Lonchura striata: one gene and its partners. The protein of the gene in region 1 purifies or fractionates together with the protein of each later gene. This does not show direct contact. Links are inferred from orthologs where the notes say so. Each region holds a gene or a part of one and is shown in the gene's direction. Other genes may lie near its edges. The genes, in order: ITGB1, CANX and ITGA9.

Region 1 (7,222 bases):
GCATTTTTCCTTGGGTAATTAAACACTAAAATATCTTCAAGCCTGAAGTTTTAAGATCTAGTTCTCTAGAAAACACTATTCATTTCAAGCAACAAAAGGAGCTGGTGCAGAAGTTCTCTGCCCTGTGTTATCATGAGTATGAGTGCTTGAACATAAATCTCAAAGACTTTAGTCTCTTCACTTAACTCCTGCTCACTTCTTTACTTTGGAACATAGGAGCAACTTGTAGTTCATGCCCAAGGAGGAAAAAGGATTCCTGCCTTGCTTATTGAGGATCAAAATATCTTATAGAATTTCTGCATAAAACAGACCCTCTTCACAATGACATAGGAGTCCCACAAAAGTGCCTTGGAAGATTTAAGTCCATGTGGCAAATGAGAAGGAATGTGTATGCTAATGGCAGCAGGGATTTTAACAGCAACAGCTCAGCCTACCCAAACATACACACAAGAGGGAAGAGCAGCTCTTCAGCTGAAGGAAGTGCAGAAAATGAGTCAGAGGAAGCATCAGAAGGCACAGTGCAGCTGTAACAAAAGCTGTCCCCCAGTCCCTCTGCTCCAGCAGCCTGCTCTGTGCCAGCAAGGGCAGAGTCCCACCAGAAGGGCCATGGTGACCTCCCCTTTCTTCTTTCCTGACAGCCACAAGTTGCTTTTTAAATGCTGGTGAGCTGAAGGAAGGGCTTGGTGGACTCTGACCTTTTCAGGCTCATGTTAAACACAGGACTGTCGATTGAACAAAGCAGAGATCTAAGCACTGATCATAAACCAGGTGTTAATATATCAGCTCTATTGCACCTAAGTGCTGCACATTGCTCCCATGAACAGCAGGCAGACAATCCTTCAAAGCAAACCTTTGCCCACAGGATACAATCTCTGGCAATCTCCTGGCTGAACATTTGTGACTCACTTCACTCCTTGTGTGGAGCAGGAGAACATGGCTCCAGTGTAAACACAGCATTCCATACCATGGGCACACTGTACAGGTCTGACAGGCTGCCTGCAGAGAAGTGCTGCTCATTCCTCATGAGGAGCCAAATAGTGGCTGTTATCTAAAGCAATGACACAACCGTTTAGCACCATCACTTCCTGTACTAAGTGACCCTTCTAATAATACTTTCTCTATGAATCTTGTGTCCAAGCCCTAACACCTCCTCATCCTCCACACTGGAAGCCAGAGCCCAGTGCTGACCAGTTGCCAGTGAGGTCTCAGTGCTCACTGTGCCCCTTGGTGACTGCACAGCTGCTTCTGGAATAAAACAGCGGCTGAAGCTGCTGCTGCTCTGCTCCAAGGTCAGGCCAGGAAAACTGGGTGCTCCCGCAGCCAGCTCAGCCCAGGTGGCTGCAGTCTGATGTGTTCCCAGGAGACCTGCTTTCTTTTGCTGGCTTCATTGCTATCCTTGGGAAAATGACTTTGACTTCCTCTTTTCTCTCCCACCCTTTATCTATCTAGTAGGGTAGAAGCATTTTGAAGAGGCAGGGAAGGAAAAGAAGAGGGGTGGAAAGGGAAAGTACTCTGCTGTCAGTAACAAAGTTTGTTGGGGAAGTGGAGCAGTACAGATAAATTATCGCTCCCTGGGGCAGAGGTGAGCGAGATACCTAGCACACTATAAAGAAGTAAAGATAGAAGTTTTAGTGGCTGGTGAGATTACAAAGTTGCCTAATGGGTGCCCTGATGAGAGGCATTTGCATTTGGGTATTAATGCGCAAACCATGCACATTAAAACACATCCTGTGTTTCTTATCACTGAGGCCCCAGTTGAAAAATATCTCCCTCTAAACCCTTTGCAAGGTGCAGGAGTGAAGAAGATGCTGGAGAACAGGCTGACAGCTCCCTGGCTGTGTGGGCTTTAGTAAGTCAGAGTTCAGCAGCTTGGCAGCAACATGTGGCAAACGGGAAACTGCAGCCAAGGAAATACCCTGATAACTGGTTAGGAGATGCTGCAATTTCTCCTACCAACCAGTTCCTGCTTCTCTGGAGGCAGTGGCTCCTGAGGTACCCAAGTGGCCCCCTCACTCCAGAGGTTCCCAGCCAGGCACTGGGAGGGATTGCAATAGAGCTGCCTGGCACAGGGATATTCAGCTCCAGCCCTGGAGCTGCAGCTGGGCACCCCCAATTTACACAGCTGGCTTCTTTACAAAAGCAGCACTGGACACATCAAAACCTGGTTTGGGATTTGTGTTTGTGTAAAAGTTATAAAATCTGTATCTGCAAGATAAGAATTAACCAAACACTTCCCAGCTTCCCACTCAGTCCATGAAAACCCATCTTTTCTTGAGCCCTCCTGTGCAAAACTGCTCACTCTCCCAGATGTCATGTACACTGCAGTACAGAAACACTACATTAAACATTTTGACATCACCTATAATTGTGTCTACTGGCTCAGATACCTCCAGCTCTTTTTTTTTTTCTTTTTTCTGGCATCTTTAGTACTTCACAAGTGTTGGAAAATAACTCATGATTTTCATACCCATCTGTGCTCTCCAAAGGAGACCAGAAAGCAGCCAAATAATTCAGTGGATTTTTTTTCAGCCATTTTGTGAGACTTTTTCCTGTTGATTTCCTATTGCACAGCACAGCCAGCCACTGGCTACTTGACACAATAAGATCTGAGCAGAGCATTGGGTAGCATTTGAACCAGTCTGTTGAGCAGTTTTATTTAGTCTTCAGAGCCAAATTGATCTCAGTAGCACATCTTTCCACCACTTCTTTGAAGTACAGTATAGTGGACAGCTGCTCACTATTTGCATATTTTGGCAAAATCACAGAATATTCTGAGTTAGAAGAAACCCACAAGGATCATCGAGTCCATCTTTTAAGTGAATGGCCCATACAAGGATCAAAATCCACAACCTTGTCATAATTAGCACCAGATGTGCTTTTTCTCTCTGCAATAAAGAAGCAGAGAAGAATACCTTGCATAAAACTAATTTTTATCGCCCAGTACTCAAGTTTCCCACATTTTTTTGCAGACCACTATCCCTCCGGCATTTGCTTTTACTTTGCATTAATTTTTACAATTTTTAAAACTTTGGCTTTCTGATGGCTTTCATTTTTCCTGGCACTATTAATATTACATATTAATTTACCTGTTGAAACATATAGTTCCTGCTGTCCTTATCTCTGAGTGTCAAAGTTGTTTAACTACCATTTCATTTATCCAGTGCTTGCTTTTGATGGGGCTGCTTGGAGCAGTAGTCTGTCATTTCAGTCTCATTTTCCAACACCACTAGAACTGTTTTGCAATTACAGCTGTACCAGCACTAAAAGCTTCTGCTAAAACAGCTGTTAGGAGACTGCGCCCTAAACCACTGCACTGCCCAAGTGGAACACGGGGTTGAATCACAGGCCACACTTGAGTAAACTAGAAACATCATTCCTTTCTTATTCCAAAATGCAGCTAGAAAGCAAGCAGGGGAAAAGTGATTAAAATTATAAACAAGTCGCAGCACTGCTGGTTAAGTTAACCATACAAAACCAAGAACTGACTCAAGCTCCAGTAGCCACACATAAAGACAGTGCTTAGAGCTCTGAGCTGTGAGTTGATAGCTTGTTTCCCAACACTTTACCTTCAATAAGGTGTCGAAAGGCACGCTTTTTCATTTTCTTTTTTTTAATCGGTAATTTCCCAAGTACTTATTTTAAGGGGCACTTTAAAATACCAAGAGCATGCTCCTAACACCAGCAGGCTCCGGCCGAGGTATTCGGGGAAAGCGACTTTTTAGCTCGGAGCGAGTGTAGCACCGGACAAACGCACTCATCACTCAGTGACTTCCACTGCTCTTGGCAGCAGCTGCCAGCAAGAGGGGCAGGGATCCCCTCGGCTGTGACCGCGCGTGGAACCAGGCAGGGAGCGGAGCAGGGGAAGAGCTCTGGAAAAGGGCTGGGGTCGAACAGCCTTTCCGCACCGCCGGGAGCGAGCGGGCCGCGGGGCAGCCCCGGCCCGTCCCCGCCCACCGGCCCAGCCCGGGGCCGGCCGAGCCGCCGGCAAACCCCGCCAAATAAGGCGCTGGCGGGCGGCACGGATGGAAGCGGGAGGGAAGCGGGCACCGAGCCCCGCCTCAGGCACGGCTCTCCCGTCCCTGCCGCCGCGCCGCAGACGCCTCCCCGGCCCGCTTGACGGCAGCGGGGAGGAATGTGTTTCCGGGGCGGGCAGCGCGGAGCGCGGACCTCCCCTCCCCTCCCCCGCGGGCCGGGCTCCCGCAGCAGCTCCGAGCAGGCGGCGGCGGGCAGCCAGCGAGGAGCGAGCCCGGGCGTCCCGCCGCGCCCAGCCCTGCCCAGCCCAGCCCCGGACGCCGCCGCAGCGAGCCGGGCGGGCCGGAGCGCGCCCGCTGCCCGGAGCCATGGCCGAGGTAACGGGAGGACGGGCGGGGGTCGCAGCCGGCCGGGAGCGAGATGAGCGGTGCCTGCGGCCGCCCCGGGGCTCGGCGCTTCGGGCGGGCTCCGGGCGGCTGCGGGCGCCGCTTCCCGCGCCGGGAGCCGCCGCCGCCCCGTGTGCGGTGCCTCGGCGCCGGCCCGGGCGGAGGAGGGGGCGCCGCCTCCCGCCGTGCCCGCCCGGCGCTGTGGGCGGGAAGGTGCCGGGCCCAGCCTGCGGCTTCCTGTGGCGGCGGGACGGCGGCCGCGGGCCTCCCGTGCCGCCGGGGCCGGCCGGGCCTTTGTCCGCCCGGGGCCGGCCCTGCCCCGGCGGCGGGGCGGCAGCGCTCTACCCCGGGCGGCGCCGGAGCCCCGTGCCTGTGCCGTGCCCCGTGCCGGCCGCCGCCTCCCGCCGGCGGTGCCCGGGACGGGGGCAGCGCTCGGCTGGGAAAGTTTCGGGCGGCTTCCCGGGAGTCGGGCGAGGGCGGGCGTCCGCAGGGGGAAGGTGCCTCCCGCGGGAAGCGGGCGCCGGAGTTACGGGAATGGGAACGAAAGGAGTGAGGCAGTGCGGGAACTCGAGTACCCGGGGGATTGTCCCGCACATACCTGCAGAAAGCGAGCGCTGAGAGCGGCGTGTGCGCGGTTTGAATGACGGGATGGTCGCAGTGCAGCCTTTGGCTGCTCGAGCCGTCCAGCTGGCTCTGAGCCTCTGTAGCCTGCTATAAACTCGTGTCGGGATGGAGTGGGAATGTGAGGCCTCTATGCCATGTCCCACATGGGGATTTCTGAAAAATCTTACAGCAGTAGTGCAATGCTTTGTCTCCTATTATTGCCTTCAGTTACTGGTTGTTGGAAGGAAACGTGGAGCAATGAGAAATTCATTCTGACTCACAGGCCCATGTCAGATGTGTTTATGTTATGGAATAAGTATCTGTCTGCCTGTTAAACTCATTAGGTAGCTTTTTGTGACTGTTTATGAAAAGAAGTTGATGAGCGTTCATGTTTGCGTCTTCATTTGTCCTTGATAGAATACAACAGTCCATTCATGCCAGCACATGTGCACATAGCTGTTGGGTGAAAATGTTGATTTTTCTGGTAGATTTGCCATCACTGCTACAGTTCTATTCTTGCCAAGATACACAAACCTTTAGGAGTAACGATTGTCTCCATTTAGATTAGTAGAACCACTCACAGTCAATGCTCCTTGTGTGCTGAGGTGTTGATATTAAGCAGGACGTTATGTATGTGGAAACAGATTTAAATAACTTGTACTCCTGGCACACAGATCATTTGGTAGGTGATGGTGGCAGTGTGAGAAAAGTTTTGAGAAATGAGGCAGCTTGGTAGCAGTGAGGGGATTTTGTTGTTCTTGGTTGTTTGTATGGGCCTTTTTAAAGTAGTATTATACTACTAAAAAGATGTAAATTAGACTAAATTAAACAAGACTAAGAGTAGCAAAGACATTCATTGTCCACATCCGTCCCAGCGATGAAACCAATGATTCATTCTCTGTCACAAAAAAATATTACTTGCCTCTGGGTAATGATTAAGTAGCATTTTGCAAGCTCACCTAAGGCTCTATTTATAAGGATTGCAAAAACAGTGAGCCATTGGCAATAGATTGGCAAGACAAGACAAGTTTAAGATGTGAACACCTTCAACTTTTGTCCTTTTCAGAGATGTTTCAGCTGAAAGGTTAAAAGCTGACAGGCATGCATAATCTTACCTTAACCAAAGTTGGAGCTGCGAAGTGCTGTATCTGTTTGCCAGCCACATGATAAATGAACCATATTTATTTAAAAATGAAATGTCAGCAGTTACAACTCCGCTGTTCTCTGTGGGTGCAGCCAGGGAGCTCATTCTGTTCTCTCTGTTCAGTTGTCTGATCTGTACCATGTCCCCAGTAATGCCCACCCTTGTAAAGGACTGATTTGGAGGGATGCTTGTTGCTCTAAGAATGTGCATGAATTTTTGATGGGAGTGCAGAATTTTAGTGTTTTGTCTTGAGTATTTTAAATGACTCAAGCGGTTAGCCTTACACCGCTTCCTTTGGGAAGTGATTCCCAAAGCTGAAAAAAAACTGTCTGAGAACTTTTCCTGCTGTTCTTTCTTCCTGATTCATGATTTCATTCCTCTCTCTAAACCATCCTCTCTCTACCTCTCATTGGGTAGTTCTGCTGTAGTTCAGATATGAAAAAAGCTTGTTTGCTGTAGCAGCAGCTCAGGAAGTAGATAACTGGGGTAGCAGAAAGGCGAACTTGGGGAGAGCCGTGCACACATGGGGTGGGCACATGCTGTGGTCTCCCTTGCCCTGAATATAATTCCCTTGCTGCTGCTGGTATGAGTGCCCGTCAGTTGTTTGTAAATAGTTGTCATGCCTGCCTTTCCACCCAGTCTCGATTTAGCTGAGTGATGTGATGCACACTTAGCCAGCTTCTCATCAGTCTGCTGCAGGCTTCGTGCTTGGCTGTGGCTCTTGGTACTGAGACAGGGTACTGCAGCTGTGATTGCTCAGCAGGCTGTTAAGTACTTTGTCTTGATGGGACCCTTTTGGTAAGTAAAGGCTCTAGTTCTGCATGAGGCTCCCTTTCCTTCTAGTGGACAGCCTTGCAGAGTCCCTGTTGCTCCTCTCTTGCACATGGTCCGAGGCCTGAGTGTCTTTAGTGTGGACCTGCTCATGATGCAGGTGCAGCCTTTGCTTGTGTCCCTGTCACTGCTGCACAGGAGGTGGATGTGTGACTGTGCTACTTTCTCTGGTAGTTCTCCTCACGTGGTGTGGAGAGTGGATATGTGGAGGAAGGCTGGATGGAGCTTGCTGGCCACTGGTATACCTGATCTTTCTCTTCCTCCTCATTCCTTTCCGAGTGTGTTT
Region 2 (8,011 bases), on another chromosome or scaffold:
CAACACCAGCCACAGCACAGCCACACCAGCACGCAGGAGGAAGCCACATGGAAGGTGGCACGCTGGTAATAGAAAGAGGCTCAGTGTAAAACCGCACGCAAGATTTAAGTGAAAACAGTAGGGAAGTATAAAAAATAGGGATCAAAAGACAGCATGTGGTCAGGGTACTGACCACATCTGGGTTTCTGTCTTGCTTAGAAGAAGAAAGTGGTGAGGGTTTTTTAGACACAGACAAAGACACAGACACAGACACATAAAATGGCTGAAATGTATGTTTTCTGTTATCCAGGCTCTTCAGCTCCAGCAGCTGATGATTGCAAGTGGGAGAGTGGCCAGTCTGGAGAGGTTACTAAGTTAAGTGCTGCTAATTCCTTGTTTATTGACTTCAGTAAATTGGGATTAGGATGGGTGAGGGGTTCCAGGTGGTGGCCTTGTGCTGTTTATATGGCATGTCAGGAATGCAGCAACTCTTCCATGATTTTGCTTGTTTTTTAAGAGGTTGTGGTGGGGAAAGCAGAGAGCTGAGGAGGAGCACGATGCTGAGGCCAGGTCAGTTAACCCAGGGTTGCATCTGGCTCCAGATCCCAGGCTTCTTGTGCAGGGCTGGAAGAGTTCTTGTCCCCTGAAGCCAAAGGGCAAGTGGGATGTGGCTGGGGGCTCCTGGGCAATCCTGGCCACGGGACCTCATTGTGCCTCGTAACAATCACATGTTGTTATGGGAGAAGAAGACCCTTCCTTTCCTTCCTTTCCTTTTTTTCCCTTCCTTTTCCTTTCTTTTCCTTCCTTTCCTTCTTCTCCTTCCACTCCTTCCTTTCCTCCTTGCTTATCTTGCCCCTCTTCACTCTACATAATAATAACACCAATTAAGCACTTTCCTTTTACCCTGGGATTGAATGGAATTTCATTTGCCATTAATCACATCCAATGAAACTGTCGAAAGTTAAGACATTCAGAAACTTGACCACTGAAAAATGGTTTATTTTTGTTTGTTTGATGGGGGGAGCTGTTTGTTTGTTTGTTGTGAGTTTGTGAGGGTTTTTCTGCGGTTTTTTTGGGGGCTTTCTTGGGTCTGGTTGGTTTTTGTTGTTTTTGGGATTTTTTTGTTGTTCCTCAAAACAAACAACTGCTTCCAAACACACAAAGCACAATCCCTGAGCCAGACAGCCCCCAGTGGTACCATGCAAGGTGGTACCAACTCAAGAGGTTATCGTAGAGGAATTATCACAGATCCATGAGCAGCTGGGGGAGAGCAGCTATTGTCAGTCTCTGATCTGGTGAATCTGAAACGTGTGAGCTAAAGTGGAAAGACTCTGTTCTAACACAGTGTCTCTCTTTTGGCCTTGCTGCTAATCACACTCAAGCCCCTCTCTGTGCCCTGCCTCTCAGGGAGCTGTGGGGATCGAGCATTTTCTTCTTTGCAAAAGGTTTTGGGTGTTGCTAATGCCCTAAGGACAGGACGGTGTTGGCAGCCTCTTGCTGTTTCTGGCAAGCCTTCATCTGTTTAAATCCAAAGGGTAACCTGTATTTCCCTAGTGAGGGAATAACTCCAGTCCACATGTTGCAACCATGCTTGGATACAAATGCCTCAAGTGTGAGACCCTCAGGGAGGACACAGTTCTGGGGATATATGAGGGCCGCTCTCAAGCAAATCTACACCAGGTCCATGAAAGAACTGGCAGAAAGGGGCACGGTGGAAGCCAGATTTTTCCCAGCAAACTGGTGCAATGCTTATGACAGCCAGAAAAGGTGTGTACAACCATCAAGATTTCCTTACCTTATGTCCAGACTAAACCTGCACCTACTATCTTGTCTCGGGTGACTCTGAATTTCTGCTTCCCAGAAGTTGTCTGTAAAGTTCCTGTTCTCAGGGACACTTCCCAGCTTGTGAAAACGGTATCAGGTGGATAGATTGTCTTCCTCCACCTCAGTGCTCTCTGCCTGTCTCTTTCTATCCATGTGTGAGTGCTCAGTTACTACTTATCTGTTGATTTTTTTCTTTTATTTATCTGCTTCATCGTATTACAATTAATTTATAACACTTTTTACATTCATGTTTATTAGCTCTGAAAATGGTAGGACTTCATTATTTCCCTTTAAGATTATTATCCTCCCCCTGTTCTGATAATGTTCATGCATCTTTTCCCATCCTTCTCTCAAGCATTGTCCCCAGAGATGTCTTTGTAACAAAATGTGTTTTCCATGGAAAGCATTCCAGAGCACATGGACATTGCTCCGTACAGTGATGTGAGCTTGCCTCCCCTCCTGCAGTTCAAAGTTTGAAAGAGCAAAAGTCAGTGTACTCTCACTGGTTGTCTGCCTTGACTGCCTGCTCTCTGCCAGTGTGGTGTCCCTCCTGTCACACTGACCTGCTGGATTTTCCACTCGTTTCTTGCCAGTTTTCCAGAGGAGATGAGTTTGAAAAGATGTACTACTAGTGCTTGAAATGCAAGGAGAACTCTAGCAATGTGGCAATGCCCTGAAGGGATTAAGGAAGGAGGAACACTTTGGAGATAAAGTTAGAGGGAATTATGAAAATACCAGTGGAAAGCACATGACGTTTCTGTCTGATAACACTCAGGAAAAGAAAGTTCCCACAAATAGAATTACACACAGTTCTAGTGCACTAATAAACTGACCATTGCCTCTCACCTCTGAGGTGTGCATATTCAGGCTCTGCCAGTCTCACCACACTGCCTGATTTCTGCCTTTTTAACTGTACTGCCAAAGTCAGAGAGCAACACACTTCCTGTGTGTTTGTCAGTGGGACAAAGCAGATCTGCTGCAATAAAGCCTGAACACACCAAAATTATTTTCCTTGACAATGTCATGTTTGCCATGTGGTATCTGCCATTCTCTTTCTTTCACCTTCCCTGCCCTGGCACTCTAGAGTCTAAAAATACCATCTTCTCAGCTGCCAAAGCAGTTAAATCTCTGTGCATGTTTCTTCAGTTTCCTTTACTCATCCCTTTTGCTTTCCTTCTGGATTATCTCTCTGTTGTGTTCATTCTGTATTTCTTTTATCTAAGTTCAAACATCTCGAAAATCCCCACATAAGATATGCTTTTAGCAGATTCTTTTTTTTTTTTTTTTTTTTTTTTTTTTTTTTTTTTTTGTAACTTACAGTGCTCCTTTCTTCTCGATGACAAAGCAGCACAGGCAGGAGCCAGCTCCAGGGCTGCCTGCCTGTGACATGATTCAGCAGGTTGTAAAAGGAAGGAATGTTTTCTTTTTTGGGAAAGGGTGGGAGAGAAAGGGGAATCACGTGTGTGCATGTGTGTGTGTGTGTGTATTTGACTTCCTGGTGCTTCTGTGATTTCAGCAGGAGTATTATGCTGTTCTGCAGTCATGTTGCAGTTAATAACCTGTTTCAAAAAAAAGGCTTGAAAGATATTTGGTGGAAAAATGGGTTTTTCTAGATTGAGGAGGGCACTTGCTAAAATATACTGTTTTGTTACTCTTTAAAGTACTTTTCCATAGTGTTTTTAGGTTATTCTTTAAGCATTTGATATCTCCTGTGCTGCCTGTTTGTGACTGTTTCCCTGCCTGTCTGCATCTTCTGCTAAGTCTGGGTATAGCTCAACAGAGCAGTTTAGGAACCAGCTCGGTGTCTTTCTGGAAAAATGTGTTTGATTCCAAACTTCAGTGCAAGCAGGGATTTGCTGATTTCATTTATGCTGAGCCTTATTTCTGAATGCTGAGGCCCTGCTTGCTTTGTCCTAACACAGTGGAATTTTCTCTGTGGGGAAACTTATACTGCTGACTCATTGCATCAACTCAAAACAGATTTATGTTTACAAAGGAAAAAAAAAAAACCACCACCCTTTTCTTTCTTTCTTTTCTCTAGTAATATTGGATTTGTTATTCCTGCAGAATACCTTCTATCTCCTGGAACAGGCTGCAGCCCAGAGACCATGCAGGAGCTGGCTTTGAACAGGGTGGTTCAGACCCAGCTTTCTGTGGAACTGCTCTCAGCTGGTGCAGCTTGGAGACAGCACAAAGGTGCTCTAACTTCCAGGCTACCAGAGCCTGTTTTCCTCACCGTGGGGCCGTGTTCCCTGCCTCCCACACGGCTGTGTGTGCAGCAGGACACGGAGACTCCTCAGGCTTAATCCTGACCTCCTTCACATGGTCCATCAAACCCGGCGTCTCCTTCGGCCTGTCTGTCCCATGGGCCCACCAAGGACACTTTTTTCTGTATTTCCCTGTGTTTCTTTAATGATTCGATGTACAAATGTTCAACATTTATACAGTGTTTCACCTCTACAAAACTGCGTTACTTTCCTTTTTAAAATACAGCACAGGTTAAAGGTTCCGGAATTGCACAAGGCCTTTGGGCAAGCAGCTGCTGAGCAGCACTGCCATATTCCGAATACGCTGGAGTCTGCGTCACTGTTCGCTATTTTATTAAACCCTCGGCTTGTAACAGAGGGAAAGACCACCAGATACACTGAATTTGTTGAATAGGCAAGAAAACCCGAACACCCCTTCTAAAGAACGAGAAGACATAAAGATGGCTCTGCTGTTTAACACAGCGGAATTTTATGGAGCAGAGGGTGAAGGCTGTGAGGGGATGGGGGGGCGCGGGCAGGGCGCGAGGCGCTGCGGCTGGCCCCGCCCCCGCCGCCCCCCGCCGCCCGCAGCGCCCCTGGACCGCCACCCGTTGGGACCCCGCCCACATCCCAACGGCCTGCCCGCGCCCACCCAATCAGCCGGCACTTCCTGCAACCCCGCCAACCAATGACAGCGCTCCACGAAGGGCAGCGCCGTTGGGGGCGTGTCTAGAGGCGGGCCGGCTGCTGAGCGGCGGTGACATTAGCCAATCAGAGTGCACAGCCGGCGACTGGGCGGGCGGACGAGCGCGCTGTCCGCCAATGGGAGACGCTGAGCGCCGTGAGGCGGGGGTGGGGCCGGCGCGCGGCAGATAGGCGGGCGGCGGCGGGCGCGCGGGCACGTGACGGAGGTGAGGGCAGCCCGGCGGCGGTGGCCGGGGCGGCGGATGGTGAGTGTGTCCGGCCGGCCGCGCCCTCCCTCCACAGCCGCTGCGGCTCCGCAACATCGGCGCGGGGGAGCCGGCCTCGCCCGCGGTGGCGGGGGCGCTCGGCCTGTCGTGGGGCGTGCGGCGGGGCGCTGCTGGGCCCTGGGGGGTGGGAGGCCCGTGCTTGTCCCGGCCCCATCGCGGCGGTGGGAGGGCGCGGGGAGCCCCCGCAGTCAGGGCGGGAGGGACGGCCTGGGGAGGCCCCTGAGGCCGGGGGCGGGCGCGGGGCTGCGGCGGCGGCGCCGGGTCCCGCCCGGCCCCCGCAGGGCTCGGAGCGGCCTGGGGGGAGCGGCGGCTCTTCTGGTAAGTTCTGGGAGCGCCGCTCCGGGCAGCGCCTGGCGCTAGGGCCGCGTGGTGGAACCGGGAGGGAGGCGAGAGTCGCACGTAGATGTGGGCAGCGCGTGGTTTAGGTTTTAGCTGGCTACGTGTTCCATGTCGGAAATAATCTTGAACGTGCTCCCCGTGCAGGGGAGATCAGGAGGTGGGTGCAGAGCCCGGCGTGGGCCTGGCTGGGGCTGTGTGAGGGGAAGGAGAAGCCTCTGGAAGGGGGGAGCTTATGGCGAGGGGCTGGAGTCCCAACAGGTGAAGTGCAGGCGACGAATCTGCAGTAGGAACATCTGAGAATTTAAAGGCATTGAAATGCCTGCTTTGATTTTTGTCCCTCAAATATTGTTTGCATTTGGTGCCTTTAAAATAGTGTATAAATGACTTCTCATTTCTGGCTGAGGATTGTATTGTGTGCTTTTAAAAGAAAAATAAAACCCACACCATTGAATTAAAGCATGTACAGCACACTGCTTTCTTATCTGTACTATTCTAAAGTGTGAACTTTCACATGCAGGTTTGTGGTTCAGAACTTTCTAGGCTACAGAAAGAGAAATGCTGCAGGTGATTTGATTGTGAAGGGTAGTGGACATGTATTAATGGCAGTAGTAATGGTAAAGGTCCAGACCTAAAGAATCAGTCTTAACATAATTAATGCTGCAGAGGTTCTGCAGGTCATAGTGGAAAACTCTTTCTGGAACTTATTTAGAGAATGTTAGATGTCTGAAAACTGGTCTCTAGGCATGTAATGTATTTCTAAATGTAGTGTGTTGACTTCACGTCCTCAAGTAAACATATCACATGGGTGTTGTGGGACAGTCTTGCACGTTGTGGTTTTGGTTGTTGCTAAAGTACTGCAAAGAGATAGCAGAACTATAATAATGTATGAGCTAATCCAGATAAAATAATGGTTAAATATAGGTTGGTATATATATATATTACTCTAGGCTCACACTGACTTCAAAGACCACTTTATTGTTAATTAGGCTGTATTTGATGGGCTTATGCAAAACACTTAATAAAATTATGAAAAGGTCTGAGTAAAACTATGTGTTTGTATTAACTTCTAGTATTTCTAGTTTAACTAAACATTATGAAGAAGATACTTATACAATTTACAGGCAGCATTGCAGGCTGTGTATGATATGTAAACTGCTTTTTGGGATCAGCTGCCCTCCTTGGAAGGGAATCTAGTGTAAAATAGTAAGAAAGTTTTCAAATTCCATTGGAAAACCCTCTCTTGTGGTGTGCTGTAGCACTTACCCTGAGTAAATGAATAAATCCTTTACAGAGAATACACTGAGACTTGTACTTAGCTCTGCCTTTTACTTCCTTTTCTGGCCTTTGACTTTCTGCTTCTGGGAGTAGTCATAGTGGCAGCCTGTTCTTGTTGGAATCAGTTCTGTAACAGGACAAACTTGAATTGTTTTCTAGGTGTGATGGTCTCAAAGATCTTGGGATCCCTCCAGATCTGCCCCCACTAATATCATTTTCCCAGCAGCCCATCTGTTTTATGAGGTCAAAAAGCCTCATGGTTCTGTCTTACCCTCCAAGGACTTCCAGTTCTGCAGGAAGGATATCTGTGCTTACAAACGGTATCTGCTTTTTGCTTCTGTACTGTGTCTGCACTGTTGTACATTATTTTTAGAAACTGGCATATTTGAAATGCCTATTAAAAGCAAGCTTTGTTGCTGTCCCTTTTCACACCTAATCCCTTGCCTGGTTTGTGCTCTCTAGAGCCCAAACAGGAGGCAGCTTTTTTTTGTGGGGCTGTCCAGAAGAGGTTTGGCTAATCCTTTCCAGGAGACTTCTTCCTCATGTAGAAGTGTATCCCAGCCACTTATTACTGAAGAAAAAAAAATGTAGGAGGGACCACCATGGAGAGTTCTTGCCTCTCTTCTCTTGTTAGTAACATGGTTTTCCTTAGCCTTGTCTGTTGTTCATTGAGTTATGATGTTAAAGGGAGAACCTTCTCAATAGTGGAAGTTGTCCATCTGAAAAACTATTTCAGAAGAAAAAGTGTTGTCTGCATTATATGAGTTGTTGTATGAACCTGAACATAATTTTTTTATATCCCCTTTTGAGGTGTGCTGAGGCCCTGTACTAGTTGTTGAAATTATAGGATTTGGCCACACAGTTTTCAGCTGCACCATAGTGTCTGTCCCCCAAATCTGCCTAAAGAGAAATCAGGCAGGTACAGGTGACAGACCTGCACTTGAAACTGTGATATTGAGCTGCCAACAACTTTATTTCCTCTATCCCTGGCTACTTACTTTCACTGGTACTGCTACAACTCTTTGCTTTTGCTGCTGGGTTAGCCTGGGGTATTGATGCAGGGTTAAAATAACATGGCAGAAGGACTTCGAGCCATCTTAAACCAGCGGCTGGTTCATCATGAGGCTGTGTAAACAGTTACCCAGGCACTGCAGAGGAGGCAGGATGTGGAAGGCAGAGGGATTGTGAGATGTAAAAGAGATTTCCTCTGCTCTTCAGTAATTCTGACTTTAGGAAATTAGTGCACTACCAAGTAGGGTAGCTGAGCCTTTGCTCAAAACCAACAGAACTGTCATTTGAGAGGGAAAATGTATATCTGTGTCTCAGCCTTTCTGTTCTTGCCTCCTTGCAATTTTTTTGTGTTGTGATGAATCATCT
Region 3 (6,971 bases), about 40 Mb from region 1:
TACAAAGAATGCATGGGAACAATAAGGCTCACCACTGCAATGGGAAACCTTTAACACAAGTTCAGTTAAAACCTCCTTAATACTGAGCATGTACTGACATAAATGTATGAATAATGATGAAGAGAGGCAGCAGCCTCTTTATTAATGAAATTATGGGATGCCTTCTCATTGTTACCATGTCCTGGCTGATGGATGCCAGGGTGGGAGAAGGAGGTGTCATTCCATTCCCACTCAGCAGCACATCCTCTCCCCAACTGTGGCTAAGAGCAAGAAGGAGGGAGCTGAGGGCCAGGAAGAGAAATCTGCACCCAAACAAGTAGGGCTTAAAAAAAGATTGTTGAATAAGCTTACAGCTTACAGGTTGTAGGTGCCTGTGGGAAGTGAAAATGAAGTTTATTGTGCATAAAAAGTGTTTTGAAACAGATGGTAAAATTCCAGCCTCAGCACGACTTCGATACAAATGCAAAGAAAGGCAAATGATAAGTACAGTTATGTGAAGAATTAAGTAAGGTATTGGTAAAAGTAAGGAAACCAATGTTGAGTTCACCATGTGCAGTACAGGAACAAATTTATCTTTATATATAATTTGGGCAGAGAAGCTTTCAAGAAGACAATTTATCTGTTAATGCTTACTCTTGATGAATGGAATCTCTACACAGCTGAATCCTTAACCAATGAAGACATAGGGCATTTGTTTTAATTTTCATTTTTTTTCCACAGCCACAACATTATTGCATTGGACTTTTTTTCCTTAAGCTCTACTATTAATTAGACAGTACTGTCAAGGGTGCTACTTCACTGTTGATTCTCAATTTACAGATAATGTTTCTAATTTATAAACTAATCTGGAGACAGAGTCTTGCCAAGATACAGTGTTTAATTAATATAGGTAGGTGTAAAGTACAAATTAGCCCTATGGTGCAGGTATGGAGCTTCTCTAGATTATACAAACATCAAAGCTAACACAGACAGAATAGATATATAGAAGTGCTATATAGCTATTCCTGGTTTTAGTGGTTCTTTCACACAGGGTTTGGACCAGGATTTGGGTTCAGTGAGGAGGGAATTCTGTGATATATGATTTAATGTATTATTCTGTGTTTGTGAGAACACGGTTCTACCATCACTTAGTTTTACCGTAATATTTATTTAACTGTACGTTATTATTGTCCTTGTCACTGCATTTGGATGTCCCATTGCTTTCATAGATGGCATGCCAGAATTTTATCAGCTAAATCTACACCATTGAGACACACAGTTTCTGTTTGTTTCTGTTTGGACTGACAAAATTCCTGTTGAATTAAATGTTGTGAGATGACTTCGGTATTTAGATGTGCAATAAAAGAAAAAGGATGGAAGTACCATATTCCTAGCCTTTCCCTGGATACCCTTCCTTGCAAAGAATGGAGAGCTGACATTTTTATGGACTGACAAAATTTTGTATGTATCACTTCTAGTTGAAATAAGTCCTCCCAAGAGCACTCTACAACAAGAAAGACAAGTGTTCATTCACCTCGCCTAGTTGCTTTGCTTCCCTCCTCCCTCTGGAGAAGGATGAACACATTGCTCTCTCTAGCATATCATCCACATTTCTTTTAACTTGGTTTGAGAATTGCCTGAGCACCATTTAGTGCCCAGGTAATTAACTGAAAACCCCCAACACTTTCTTGCTTCAAAAGGCAGAGATGTGACTTTCTGTGCTAATGATTGCGTGTCATTTGTGGAATTTGCTTAATTGAGGCGTATTGATTTTCTGCCTAAATCAGATTACTTTTATCCATATTGATTGCACTGTTATAAAATCCCTGTGAAAATCTTTCTATTAAATGTTATAAATCTCCCTGCTAATATGACATAAATTCCTTGCTGTTTCACTTGATGCGCCAATAAACAAATCAATTCTTGCAGTTTGATAATATACCTAAGGCTGAAGTTACTGATAAAGTGACTTTCCCTTTTTATTTGATAGTGAGCATTGTGGCACTGAGATTTGACTGAAAAATTTTCACTTCTCCGTAACCCTGGTCATAGTTAGATGAAGGAAGACTCACACTAATCCAACCTTTTCCCAAGCCACCTTGAACAAGCACACTAAATAAGTATACCGCTAAGCTGCACAAAGCCAATATAAAACAACTTGGTGACTGGAAACATCCATTCCTCTATTTTTTTTTTCACCACCAAATTGTGTAATTTTTACTTCTCTATTTAACCTGTCCATGAAATTTTCTCTATTAATGTTCCAGCATCACAGTCAACATCAAAAATGTCAGTTTCTAAACAGCAATATGTACATGTGTCACCAGAGCACTTGCTCTGAGGGTAATGCTCAAAAGCAATGATTACAATCAATCTTCTTCCTGGTGAGGATGCTCCCTTGCAGAAACAGGCTATGCATTTGAAAGAGCCACATGGATATTATGAAACAGCTTACTGAAACTCCTCACCAAAAACAAATCCTGGTGCAAACCTTTTACAGAAAAAGAATTACTCTTTCATCAGGAACTTCATTCTCTGAAAGATTTAACTTGCAAGAGTGTTTTTCCATGACAGCTCTCCAAGAGCCTCAACATTCAGCAGTCTTCTCTGGAGATCATTGATGTCATCAGAAGCAAATTACGCATTAATCATTGTGTGCATATGCAAGAGGTACCTGACCTGGCTGCAAATCTCCAGTGACCTGCCACAAGTGGCAGTTCCTGTTGTATCAGAGTTCCTGGCTCTTCTATTCTTGCGTTTCCCAGTACTTACTCTGCTTCTCCTGGTGCACCTTCTTATGTATGAGGGATATACATTGAATTAAATAGTCAAAGCCAAGGCTAACAGAAACATATGAAAGTCACAATTATCTGTGAGATTCTGGGCTTGATCCTCAAAAAGTATCTAAACAAATGAATCCTGAGCACTAAAATATACTGCTTTTCACTTTAATAAAAGGATGGGCTTTGTGGGCCCAAAGGTTTTCTTAGCACCTAACTCCCCTCCCCTTTCCTACAGAGTGATGATCACCCTTGTCTTATCCTCTGGAGTAGAGTATCTTCTTGCCTTTGCTCTTGCTCATCTGTTAGTGCATGTTTGACTGATTAGTTTTGCTCTCAGATTGTCAAACTTTTCAAGTTTTAGAACAGTTATTTTCAGCTTTTACCGAGCTACAAAAGTTGCTGCTTCTTTTTCAGACCTGAAGTACTTTTGCCGGAAAACACTGCGTCTGATTTTTTTACCCGAAGTATTTTCATTTCTGCTACCCTGAAAAAAGACACTGCCTCTCGTCATGGCTTTCCTTTTCCCAAGAAAATCTCCCGTGCTTTTGCGTGATGCAAATCAGATCTTCCATCTGTCACTCGCGAAGCATTCCCCTCCGCGTGCCAGATCCCAGCCGGGCTGGTAGCCTCAAACTAATGGAAGTCAGGACTGATTCCTCCACGTCTTTGCCCTAAACTTTGTGATTTCCCTCTTCCCCCTCCAGGCGCCGACCGGGGGAGGGGCTGCGCGAGAAGGGGAGTAGGCGGAAAAATGAAAGAAAGCCGTAGCTGACAGGCGGTGTGTGGAAGAGAGTGACGCCGAGGAGGGGCTGTGGGGCCGCGCGGGGCCGGGCAGCGGGGCCGGGCAGCGGGACCGCCGAGCGGGGCGGGCGAGCGGGGCCGGGCGAGCGGGGCCGGGCGAGCGGGGCCGGGCGAGCGGGGCCGGGCAGCGGGGCCGGGCGAGCGGGGCCGGGCGAGCGGGGCCGGGCGAGCGGGGCCGGGCGAGCGGGGCCGGGCAGCGGGGCCGGGCAGCGGGGCCGGGCAGCGGGGCCGGGCAGCGGGGCCGGGCGCGGCGCGGCAGGTACCGCCCGGGACCGGCAGGGGGCGCCGGCGCCTCGGCCGGCCGAGGCGGAGGGGCGCGCGGTGCCCGCGGCGCGGGGCGCGGCGGGGCCGGGCCCAGACGCGGCGCGGGGCGGGCACAAAAGCGCCGCGCCCGCACACGCCACCTTGGAGTCGGCGCCGGGGCAGGGTGGGGTCGGTGGGCCCGAGTTCAGCGCTTAGCGGCGCCGGTACGGGCGGCTGCCTCGGGACTCGCACGATGCCGGAGGCGCGGCGGCGCGGGGCACGGGTGCTGTGGACGCTCCTGTGGGCGGCCGCGGTGCGCTGCTATAACGTGGATGTGGGTCGCCCCGTGATTTTCCGGGGTCCCAACGGCTCCTTCTTCGGGTACTCGGTGCTGCAGCACTACCACGACAGCACGCGGTGGTGAGTAGCGCGGCCCTGCGCGCCGGGATGGGCGAGGCGCGGGCGGCGGCGGGGATGCGGCCCGGGGGTCGCCGCCCGGGTTTCCACCGTCCCTCCCGGCAGCCGCCCCCGCCCCGCACCGCGGTCTCTCCCCGCGCCCGGTCCGCCTCTTTGGGGTGCGGTGGAGGCAGAGCTGTGGGGCTCCGCGCTGGGAGCATTTTAACGCGGGGATGTTCTTTATGGGCTGGCAGCCGGCGCTTGGCATTGTGACCTAATTGTCCTCGAGCGCCAGCCGGCCCGCGGCCGATGTCTCGGCGCTGTGCTCGATCCCCCTTCCTCGCAGGAAATATTTAGCAGCTCACCGACTTGACTGCGTACGAAAAAGCGCCCGGGGTACGAAAGATGATGGTTTTTGCCGCGTTAATGGGAAGTGCTTCTAATAGCGGTAACCTCCACCGAGAGCAGCACACTCAGCGTCCACGAAGCCAAACTACCCGCACTCTGCCTGGCTGGGACAAAATTCCTTCGGAGGCTGAAGAGACGCTTCCAAATCGTAGAGGAAATGTCTGTGTAACTTAAAAAAAAAAAATAAAAAAGAAGGCCGAAGAAAGAAAGTTTATCTACATCCAAAAATTTGTGAAACTGGCAAGCTTCTTGTTTTCCCGGTGGTTGAAAAGAGCATTGGACCATAGTCTGTTTGTTGTCTGGGTTAGAGGCTCTTTGTTAGAATTAAAAGTGATTGCTCTTAATTTGACCTAGCTGGTGTCGCCTGGTGCCCTTCTAATGTGAGTAGGAGCCACTGCTGCCAGTAAGCGTCCACAAAGCATGTCTTTATCTTTTTGTACTTAGATATTCAGCTATTGATGTTGGAACTTTGGTGCACTGTGCTTTAAATAAATGTATTCATTCTCTGGCATACAGTTCTTTAAAAATTAATTTCTTTCACACCCTTTATTTCACAAGTAGTTCTATGCTCTGCCTTTCTCCATAGTGGCTTTCATGGAGTATTCATTTTTAAGGACATATAAGAAGATTTCATAGAGGAAAAGCACCCTGAGAGAAGAAAGGCTCTCAGTTTAAAGCAGTGCTTAACTTAGGTCAAGAGTCAATGAAGGGTGCAAAAGCTGAAAGGAACTTCTATTCAACACAAGTTGCTGAGGATTCAGTGGTGTGACTGAAATGCTGATCTACTGCAGTGTGGTGGGGAAAAAGTGGTAGAATTTTTTGCTTCTTATGTAGGTATCTGTCTTTCTGATTGATAATATGAATTATCTTCATATAGCACCTGCTGGTGTGGTATTTTTTGAAGGGAAGGTGGACTAGGGAGCGGGCTCTTGGTGCTAGCCCCACTTCATTTAGAAACATGCTGGACTCTTTAAGTGTTGGGTGTCTGTCTGAAGGCAGGGATCTGTTAGAAGTCTGGTGCTCAAAATGAAAATCCCCAGTTATGTAAATTCAATTTTTTTTTGTTTGAAAATGGAGCTGATTCATGGTATTTTTATACTCACCTTGATTCTAGTGTGCTATATGCAGTTGTGCTTGTAATGCGTGTGTGCATCCTAAAGGTCAATAATGAATCTCTTAAAAGTATATGCAGCCTCCTTCCAGTTTGCTGAAGAAGCTGCTCTTAAGAGTCAGGGTTATTATTTGTGTCAAGTTTTTTTTTCTTTCTTCTTGTGACTTTTATATACCCAAGGAAGGGCTATTGTTTCAGTTTTCTCATGTTGATTGGGTCTGTACACTGCAATGGGAAGTCGTTAAAATAATTTAACTTTAGACAGTGCTATTTTGGGCATTGAAGGCTTGCCCAGTGAGTTTAGCACTATCCGAGTCTGCAAAAATGTGATTGATCTAGTCTGAGGCTGATAGGGCTCCAGCCCATCTAAAGTTATTTATTATTTTAATATGCTCTCAAGAATTTGAAGGTATTCAGGGAACTCTTGGTCTTCATTGCTTGTGAGCCTGATACTCACCTAATGTACTTCTGATCATGAGAGCTGTCCTGTTTTCCGTAGCCTCGTCTGTGCGCTGGTGTGTGTGAACATACTTGTGTGTGTGTGTCTATATATATAGTCACCAATTTATATTAAGATGGTATCTCTCATGGCCACATCTTCCACGTTTCAGCTTTTTGTTTTCCAAGACCACAAAGGCACCTGTCTGTATTGCCTACCTTAGGCCTGTGGGTTTCCACTAAGCTGGTTCAGGGTTTGGTGATTCTTTCAGGCTTTATGTGAGCCAAATATTCATGTAGAATGAAAAAAAAAGGGAAGAGGGGATATTTGGTATGAAATCTTACATCAGATAAATGTGAATAGTCAGGCTGCTGCACACAGGAATTACAACTGGGAACTGGTTGTTCAGCCGCCACTGCAATAGTGGAGCTGTCAGTGCCTTTGACATTTTCTGCAATAGTTGATTGCAACGTTGGTTCCATTGAGCTGTTTTTGCACATTTTCTTGTCTCAAGAAATCAGAGAATCTCAATAGAGATGTGCTGAGATTATTGTATTTCTGACAATGTCTGCTTTTCCTTCCTTAAGTGGGTTTTATGGCTGTAAATCTTGACAGGTTTACTCAGTTACCCATCATTGCCATTTTCAGCAAAACCAAGTGGCTGGTTACATTTACAGCAGGGACAAGCTGAAGTGCTTCTGCTCTCTGGATATAAAATTATGAAACTTGGTGTAAGAACTCAAAAAACAATCAAGAAATGACCCCAGAAAGTTAAAAAAGAAAAAAGAAAAAGAACCAACACATTTTTTCC

What was found.
Region 2: the proteins of ITGB1 (region 1) and CANX purify together in Homo sapiens (affinity purification with mass spectrometry; 3 studies listed by BioGRID and IntAct, with this or other methods). This does not show direct contact. The link is inferred for Lonchura striata from reciprocal best matches to the Homo sapiens genes ITGB1 and CANX.
Region 3: the proteins of ITGB1 (region 1) and ITGA9 purify together in Homo sapiens (affinity purification with mass spectrometry; 3 studies listed by BioGRID and IntAct, counting the BioPlex papers as one, with this or other methods). This does not show direct contact. The link is inferred for Lonchura striata from reciprocal best matches to the Homo sapiens genes ITGB1 and ITGA9.

The regions. Positions count from the first base shown.
Region 1 is NC_134603.1:142,822,753-142,829,974, reverse strand, and holds the start of ITGB1 (integrin beta-1), read left to right. Parts: upstream 1-4,190; 5' UTR 4,191-4,340; coding exon 4,341-4,349; intron 4,350-7,222.
Region 2 is NC_134617.1:6,815,187-6,823,197, reverse strand, and holds the start of CANX (calnexin), read left to right. Parts: upstream 1-4,909; 5' UTR 4,910-4,996; coding exon 4,997-4,999; intron 5,000-8,011. UniProt on the Homo sapiens protein: Calcium-binding protein that interacts with newly synthesized monoglucosylated glycoproteins in the endoplasmic reticulum. It may act in assisting protein assembly and/or in the retention within the ER of unassembled protein subunits.
Region 3 is NC_134603.1:102,418,569-102,425,539, reverse strand, and holds the start of ITGA9 (integrin alpha-9), read left to right. Parts: upstream 1-3,933; 5' UTR 3,934-4,059; coding exon 4,060-4,226; intron 4,227-6,971. UniProt on the Homo sapiens protein: Integrin alpha-9/beta-1 (ITGA9:ITGB1) is a receptor for VCAM1, cytotactin and osteopontin. It recognizes the sequence A-E-I-D-G-I-E-L in cytotactin. ITGA9:ITGB1 may play a crucial role in SVEP1/polydom-mediated myoblast cell adhesion.